Linked DNA regions of Mus musculus: region 2 is reported to be linked to region 1. The links are microRNA targets in miRTarBase. Many come from high-throughput screens and were not tested one by one. Region 1 holds a microRNA gene; the other region holds the end of a gene's coding sequence.

Region 1 (4,393 bases):
CATTGAAAATAGTTCTCTTTGGTATGTATATATCTGGAATTTTCTAGTACTTTCCTCTAAGATTCATGTAAGTTACCATGATCTAATGCTCTGATCCTGATTTCAATAGAGAAAAAAAAACCATAAGAAATATTTCATTAATTGTACACCATCTGATGAATCACATATGTGTGTAATGTGGAGAATGGGTGAAACAGGGAGGAGAGATCAGAGAGAGGATGAGAAAGAAGCAAATATTTGTTAAGTACTAGTGAACTCCTATAGTACTTAGGCCATTTAATTTTACCTAATATGCTTGAGGCCGTTAGGTAGGCATTCATTCCAAATCCCAGACTTGCCCATGAGAATCGATGTGGACATGAAAGATAGAGCTAGAGTTACAAATGAATGATGGAAGTGGTTAGAAGTAGTTGTAGGTAAAAATATTTTTCAAACTAGCTACAGTGGAGGTGCAGGGATTATTAATTGGCCTAACTCTAATGCAAAGACAGATAAGGGGAAAATTAATTCATAGAGCTGTACCAAATGTATATGAAACAGGCTATGACCATACCCCAAAAACTGATGATTAGAAGTTGGGAATGGCTACTAAGGGTGGTTGAGATTTAAGTAGGGTATATTGGATGAAAGAGAGTATTCACTACTTTGTTAACACTTCTACGCATATCAGCTCATTCTGCTCATGGTGTTTTAGACTATGCTAAGTCAGTGACTAGAATACAGGTGTGCCAATATTTATATATGTATACAACATTCTTAGAAGGGCACAGAAGAAACATTGATCACTCTCTGAGAGGAGAGAACCTGGTAGGAGTAAGAAGAACACTTAGACAGTTTTGTACCTTTTGATATTGCATTATATACTGCAGCCTGCTTCCAACAAGAAAACTCTCTCTCTCTCTCTCTCTCTCTCTCTCTCTCTCTCTCTCTCTCTCTCTCTCTCACACACACACACACACACACACACACCTTCATTTTTATCCAGAACATTTCCATATGTTGAACTATAATCACAAAGTGTCCCTGATCTTGTCCACAAACCCTTTCCCTGACCATTTAAAACCACATTCTATCCTTACTGACCACTGGCATAGGATCCAACTGGCAGAATGAAGTGGAGTTAGCAAATGTAGCTTCCATATGGCAAAGGGAAGCATACCGGATGAAGTGAGATCCTAAAGTCAACAGTACTTCTAGTGTTAGTATTTCTTCATACTGTTAAGTAGAAGAGCAAGAGACCTTCTTCACTGGTTTGAAGGTGGAGGATAAAAACCTAGAAACAAAGATTTGTTGAGAGAACCTTAAGAAAGGGTCAGGGAGAGGTCATGCAGCAGCTTAGTAAAGTTTAGCTGGGTTAAGATAGGGTTGCAAGTGAATGTGTTGCCCTCGAGCTGGTCAGAAAGCCCTCTGTCAGCTATCAGATCCCATAACACACATACACATGGCCATGTATATAAGCAAATCTTCAAATAAGTCTTTTGGGTTCTGCTGGGTTTTATCAGGCTTATTCAAAAAAAGTTGAATGCCTGTTGTAAGGAGGGTACAGCACAGAGCAGTGGCTGTGGGCATTCACAAAGAGAGAAGGTTTCTGTGAAAATCAATGGTTCTTGGATGTGGGTTTTGTGATGGACTAGGGGCCAAGTGTTGTGGATTCTAACAGAGCCGATATAGTGCTTGGTTCCTAGTAGGTGCTCAGTAAGTGTTTGTGACATAATTCGTTTATTGAGCACCTCCTATCAATCAAGCACTGTGCTAGGCTCTGGGGCCACATAGCTAAGTTAGACAAGATGCTCCCTTTTGAGGCTCTTATTGCTAGTAGTGGCTATAGTAGAGTGATTAGTTATAACAACAATACTGATAGGAATAAGAGGGTATGCCCAGGAAACAGAAGCAAATTATGCTGTGGGAAGAGGCAGTGAATATGCTCCATCTATTCCAAAACCTTAGGAAGGAAAGGAGAGAAGGGGGCAGCAAATAGAGAGGTAAGGCTGAGAAGCTTGACCTTAAATATGAGAGACTTGAGCATCATGTTCCCATTAGAGAGGTCAGGGTGAAGATTCAAGGGTTAAGGCAGTGAGCAATGGAAAGTCATGTTCGAGGCTATAAAGAGGATGAGGGTGGAAACTGGCCAGGATCCCCAAAAGAACTCTTCTGAAGCATCAGAGCGTGGACTTGCAGGTGATACCAGGAGATGATGGAGAAAGTTAAGAGTAAGCAAAGGGCAGTGATTGCAACAATGAATTGCAGGTCCCAGGCCAGTTTGAGAAGGTAATTATGCTGAATGAGTCTGACAAATGAGAAGAAACCAACAGTTCTAAAATACAAGTGATGGAAACAAAGAAAAGGCCTTACTGGGGCAGAAGCAGCCAGAAAGTAGGGTGTACAAATAGAGGATGGCATAGGTGTGGTAGTTTGGAATGACAAAAGATTCTGAGTATGACCAAGGATGTGAATAAGTGGTGTAGGAAGAGGTTATGATAGTTGAACCAAGGAGTTAGGCATTTCTGGTTATTTCCCATGGATGTTTAAATCCATCTGATTATACAAAGACTTGCACCAGGAGTCCAGGATCATTTGAGGGGGATTAATGTTTGGGAGAAAGTAAGCAGATACCCGTGACAAAACTTGCTGGTTGGAGTCTATAAATATCCTAGCTGCCCATTACCTGAAACAGGAAGTGAGCACCTGTGAGCTTGGCTTCTCCTCCTCACTGTATTCTTACAGGAATGGGACAGAAGACTCCAGCTACAATGGGAATCAACCAGTGTCTATGTTGTACAGCCTGTTCCAGCAGTCCCAGTTGCCTAAAGGCCTAGCTATCAGAATAAGGTAATGCATTGTCTGTGGCTAGTCAGTAACATGCAACTCTGCAGAAGCACTGAGAAGCTTAGGAGTGAAGAAAAACTGAATCATACAAAGGAATGGCTGTAGTATATTCTAGGCTAATTCCTAGAGAGTGTGGTGCATGCTGATCGGGCCATGTCTTTCCTTTATCTATACAAGAATAGTAGTGATAATGACATGTGAAACAGTTTGTTTGGGCAATGTTGTGAGAGGAATCACAGGCAGGGAGGGCACGTTTTCCTTGTGTCCAAAAGAGTTTTTGAGGTACAATTTTGATTAACAATTGGTGGGGGTGGTATTTTTGAGAAAGAGTAGTGGCTGACATTCTCATCTTTGGAGAAACCTTTGAGGAAAAATTACAGAAAACATGGAGTAGCTTCAAGAAACTCTTAAGATGTTTTCTTTCACAGTAACATTATCCGGAGCCACAACAGACAATAGCTATAGTATTGACAGTAGCTATTATATATATAGTCTGATCCCATGGAAGGCTCTGTTTAAACACATTTATTTGCATGAATTCTTTCAGTACTTAGAAACAGCATTGTAAAGTCTAAGTATCTATATTTAATCCATTTACCATTGAGTAATGAAATACATGAGAAAAGATGCTTTATAAACTAAAGACGACTTTAGCTCAAGGTCCCTTGACTTTGCAACCACGGTCTCAAGGCTGTACATAGAATCATGTGACAAGGGGTAAGGAGCATGTGTAAGACTATGTAGCTTCCCTCTTTCCTTAATATACCAGAATTCAACTAGGAGAGCCCCACCATAATGGCCTTATTTAAAATTAGTCACTTCTTATAGGCCTTGCGTCTAAACAGCATCATTGAATTAGTTTTATATCTTCTTAATATATTATGAGGGAAATAAATGTCAACATATAAAGTTGTGAAGTACCCTCAGATCATATACAAATCATTATTATAATAATTGTTGGTGCTCAGTGGTAAAATGCTCAATTAACATGTGTAAAGCCATAGGCTCCATTTTTAGTACCATTAAGAAAACACTTTAGTACTAAGTAAACACTCACAAAGCAAAATCATACTAGAACTCAAATCTTTGTAACCCATTCTGATGAAGATACAGATATAAAGAGTGTCAAATATCTATTTTTTTTATCTACGTAGACTATAAACTATAGATTGTATACTTTTGAAGTTTGTTCTGGATCCTCAAAGCACTTGCTGCGTTCTTCCTGGGAGTTGGTTCCTGTGTATATGAAATAGACTGCTGTGTGTCTAGCTTTTTGGTGATTCTGACATGCTGTGAAAATTACATGTTGCTGTGAAGGAAATCTGGCAGGGGAGAAGCCTTCAAAAAGGCATATGATTAGCTAGAATATGCTTGGAAAATCGATTGTCTTTGGAAGATGAGTCAAGGAGCTTCTAAAATGTTTTCCTGGCCTGGAGAGATAGCTCATGGAGCACTGAAATGCAACTAGGGCCTTGGCATTCCAGATAAGCTATCCGCCATTGCAATCTAAATACCTTGAGTAACATTTTGTTGAAACCAGTTAGCTCATTAACTTGAACACCATGGG
Region 2 (4,393 bases), not on the chromosome of region 1:
ACGTCCAGGGAAAGGGTAGCCCCCTTTGGTAGCAGGCGCCCACTCAGGCCTGGGGACCTGAAGGGAAGATGTTTGTGTGCACCCCTGCCAAACTAATGACCCGTCCTCTGGCTTCCTTAGAGCCCCTGGGGGCTGACGCCTTTTTACCTGCCCTGACCGAGGAGCTGATCTGGAGTCCACATATTGGGGAAACACAGCTGGATGTGGAGTTTCTTATGGAGCTCTTGGATCCAGGGGAGTTGCGAGGAGAAGGTGAGCTCCCTCTTCTGAGATGCCCAGACACTGAGAAGAAGGCAGGTGCCTTTGATGAGCCCCAGCTTCATGTGCCTCAAAAAGAGTGGGCACTCGCCGGGCGTGGTGGCGCACGCCTTTAATCCCAGCACTCGGGAGGCAGAGGCAGGCGGATTTCTGAGTTCGAGGCCAGCCTGGTCTACAAAGTGAGCTCCAGGACAGCCAGGGCTATACAGAGAAACCCTGTCTCGAAAAACCAAAAAAAAAAAAAAAAAAAAAAAGAGTGGGCACTCAGAGAAGCCCAGTAGGGCTATGATGACCTCATTTTCTCTCCCCCAGCTGGGTATTATCTGACCACGTGGTTTGGGGCTCTCTACCACATTGCTCACTACCAGCCAGACACTGGCCGTGCACCCCAGGGGCTCAGCTCCGAGGCCCGGGCCTCCCTGCGCCAGTGGCATCGAAGACGGACACTGCACCAGCAAGCCCAGCCCACAGCCCAGGTAACCACCTATGCTATGCAGATGCAGGTGGAAGGGGCGGTGGTCTCTGATGCCCCTTTGACACAGCCTCCCATTTCTCCCCACAGGCCAACCAGCCTTTTGAGGAGCCATGGGCAATAGGGGACCCATGAAAACTGGAGTTCTCAAACCCCAGTCACTTCCGAACCTTTTGACCCACTCCTCTGCTAAGCAAGATTCTGGAGGCATCTGGGTCAGCATGGAGGGCAGGGCAGGAAAGGAGACGTGCCTCCTGCAATGTCTTACTTCCTCCTCCTCAATTCACCTCCTTCGGGTCTGTCCAGATGTTACCTCAACGAGGCGCTCCCCAGCAAACAAAACCCACACCCAGACAGTACTACAACTACAACCCTCTCGCCTGAATCTCTTTGGGGCAGGTAGAATAAAGGCACCGTCCCCAAAGGTGTCTTCATCCTGATCCTATCTGTGACTGTGACACTTAACTTGGTCAAGTGATCGTTACAAAAATGACAGCATGTCTGGACCTGAGATGGGAGCTTATTCTGGATTCTTCTGCAGCTCATGTAGTTAGGAGGGTGGCAGAGGTACAGGGACCATCATGAGCTTACGCCTCCAGCTATACAGCAGAATGAGGTGGAAAAAGTACTTGAGGCCAAGACCATGAGGACACTGTGGCACTGAAACATAGTAGGTGTTTAGGAACACCTATGTGCCTTGAAAACATATCACTGCCCTAATCTCTGTGACCGTATTTGGCAAAAGTGTTTGTGCAGCTATTATTATTATTTTTGTTGTTTTGGTTTTTCAAGACAGGGCTCCTCGGTGTAGCCCTGGCTGTCCTGGAACTTGCTGTGTAGACCTGGCTGGCCTCGAACTCAGACATCAGGGATTAAAGGTGTGTGCCCCCACCACCCAGCTCGTTCAGCCATCATTGAAGATGATAAAATGAGGGACAGTGCCCCGGGGACTGTGTCTGTGACTCCAGGAGCACCCACGCCATGCGGGAGACAAGGAGAACGAACGGATGGGAACAAGAGAGACGGGAGATGCTGGGCTACTCCAGGAAAGCTTCTCCCCACTGCCACCCCCCCTCTGAGAGCTGCAGAAGTCATGGGGCCCTGCTGTCAACCTGGTTTCTGTGAGATTAGTGATGTCAGAACTCTGACCTCCAGAATTGTGAGCAAATAAATTCCTGCCGTCTTAAGACACCAAGGTGGTAATAATAATAATAATCAATAAAATTTAAAATGTACTGACGAGCAATGGAGGTGCAGACCTGTAATCCCACCAACATGTGAGGAGACTGAGGCCCGCCTGGGATGCCCGAGGCCCTGCCTGACTCAGCAATGAAGCTCTTACCTAGAATTCGCAGCAAAGGGCTGTGGGTATGGCTCATCAGCGCGGTGCTTGCCTAGAGGCCACTGTTAAAGAGCTGGAGTGTGGCCTGGTGGTAAAGTATGTGCCTTGCATGCTTGAGGCTGTAGTTTTTATTACCATCAACACACACACACACACACACACACACGCATGCCCCAGTGTACGTCAGTGTTGGAGAGCTGTCTTCATTAACAGCACTGACTATTCACCTAGAGAACCAGGATTCACTTCCCAGCACCCACACGGCAAATCCCAAACCATCTGTAACTCAAGTTCTCGAGTTCTAAGCACCTGAGACCCTCTTCTGGCTTCCACTAGCATCAGACACACATGTGATACACAGACATTCCTGCAGGCAAGGCACAGTATCTTTAAAATATAAGTGAGACCATCGTAAGTTAGTGAGTGTGCATAGTAAGTTGATAAAGGTATCTGAGTGTTTGAGTTATAGGAATCATCCTAGCAAGTTAACTAAGTCCACTGGCCAGATAGACGGTTTATTACCTGAAACTCAAGACCGGCCCCGAAGCAGCAGAAGTTGGGTGCATCCTGTAGACCCAAGCTCATTATCTGTAGGATCTGAGGCTAACTCCAGATAGTGTCAGGATCGGGTTAAATTATAGGACACCCATCTTTATTGGCCAAGGGAATTTCTTGATGTATGTGTGGGAAAACCTCCACACACATCTGGTGTCTGAAGTGTGTGAGTTGTGTGGGAGTGAGGGAAATGTACCTTTTTTTTTTTTTTTTGAGACTGGGTGAAGCTCTGGCTGCCCTGGAATCTGCTCTTAGACCAGGCTGGCTTTGAACTCAGGGATCTGGCTACCTCTGCCTCCCAAGTGCTGGGATTAAAAACATGCTACCCCTCCAAGGCCCCCCCAACCCCACCTCTTCTATTTTATAGAAAAACAAGGAAAGCTTCATGCAGGTGGATTGGACAGGGATGCGCGGCACGTAGCAGAAGAGGAGGCAGCCAAAGAAGAATCACGTGGGCCACATCTGTATGTGTGGCTTGTTGCTGTGATGACACCGTGACCAGAAGCCACCGGGGGAAGGAAAGGGTTTATTTTGGTTTAAGGTTCTAGAAGACTCCGCCGTGGAAGGGGAGGCATGGCAGGAAGAGTACACATCTTCAGAAGAAGATGTGAAGAGATCACATCTTCAGCCGCTCACAGGAAGCACAGAGAACAGGAGGGAGGGGGCAGGTTGAGAAGCCTTGAGTCCTTTCCTTAGTGATAAACTTCTCCCCATAAGGCTCTGCCTCCTCAAGGGCCTGTAACCTCCCCAAGCAGTGCCACCAGCCAGGGGCCATGTGTCCAAACACCTGAGCCTCTAGGGACATTTCTCATTCAAACCACCACCACACCAAAAACTTAAAAATTCTAAACATGCATGCCTGTCATGTACCACAGCATTTAGAAAGCAGAGGCAGGAGGATTCCTTCTAGTTCTAAGTCAGCCTGGGCTTTGTAGGAAGACCCTACCTTCAAAACCAAAGTAGATTTGGGAGATGGCCCACTGGGCTAAGTGCCTACTATACAAGGACCTGTGTTCAGGTCCTTGGTGTGGCAGCAGGTACCTATAACTGACTCACTGGCCTGCCAGTCTTGCCAAAGCAGCAACTTCTAGATTCAGCAAGAGACTCTTGTCCAAAAAAAAAAAAAAAAAAAAAAGGGGAGCTAGAGAGATGGGGCAGTGGTTCAGAGCACTCGTGTTTTTGTAGAGGACCCAGGTTCTATTCCCAGCACCCACATGGCAGCTTACAACCTTCTATAAGTCCAGTTCCAGGGGATCCAACACTCTTCTTTTGAGACAGGGTTTCTCTGTAGCCCTGGCTGTCCTGGAACTCACTTTGTAGACCAAAAAAATCCCAGCACTTGGGAGGTAGAGGTAGGCCTCGAACTCAGAAATCCGCCTGCCTCTGCCTCCCAAGTGCTGGGATTAAAGGTGTGTGCCACCACGCCCGGCCCAACACCCTCTTCTGACCTCCAAGGGCACCAGGCACACACATGCAAGAAAAACACATAAATTGATTAAATGTGGTGCTGGCCAAAAAGAGAAAAAAAGTAACAGGTTCTGCTGCCAAGGTGGACAGACAACTTGAGTTTGAAGAGGGCAGAATCAACTCCTGGTCCTCTGACCTTCATATCTGTGCCATTGGACGTGTGAACATAAACACACAAATATAAATAAAATGATGTTTCCAGGAGGCGGTGGTACACGCCTTTAATCCCAGCCAGCACTTGGAAGGCAGAGTCGATCTCTGTGAATTTGAGACCTCTCTGGTCTACAGGGTGAGTTCCA

Evidence for each region. The annotated mature microRNA mmu-miR-325-3p reads UUUAUUGAGCACCUCCUAUCAA and lies in region 1 at 1,719-1,740, shown strand. An mRNA with a match to its seed (bases 2 to 7 or 8) in the 3' UTR can be bound and repressed. Matches are read on the target gene's strand: a 7mer-m8 pairs with bases 2 to 8, a 7mer-A1 pairs with bases 2 to 7 and ends in A, and an 8mer does both.
Region 2: miRTarBase lists Rinl as a target of mmu-miR-325-3p. Seed matches in the 3' UTR shown: 8mer at 1,946-1,953.

Annotation. Positions count from the first base shown.
Region 1 is chrX:105,376,452-105,380,844 of GRCm38, reverse strand. It overlaps Mir325 (microRNA 325), which reads left to right and starts at 1,666; the gene lies at 1,666-1,763. The region is part of intron 4 of 5330434G04Rik (RIKEN cDNA 5330434G04 gene); the gene reads left to right.
Region 2 is chr7:28,796,990-28,801,382 of GRCm38, forward strand. It overlaps Rinl (Ras and Rab interactor-like), which reads left to right. Exons shown (of 12, transcript NM_177158.5): 10 at 121-252; 11 at 571-734; 12 at 821-1,976. The coding sequence ends at 865. Among named protein-coding and RNA genes, the nearest start is that of n-TKctt24, 5.1 kb to the left of the region's middle.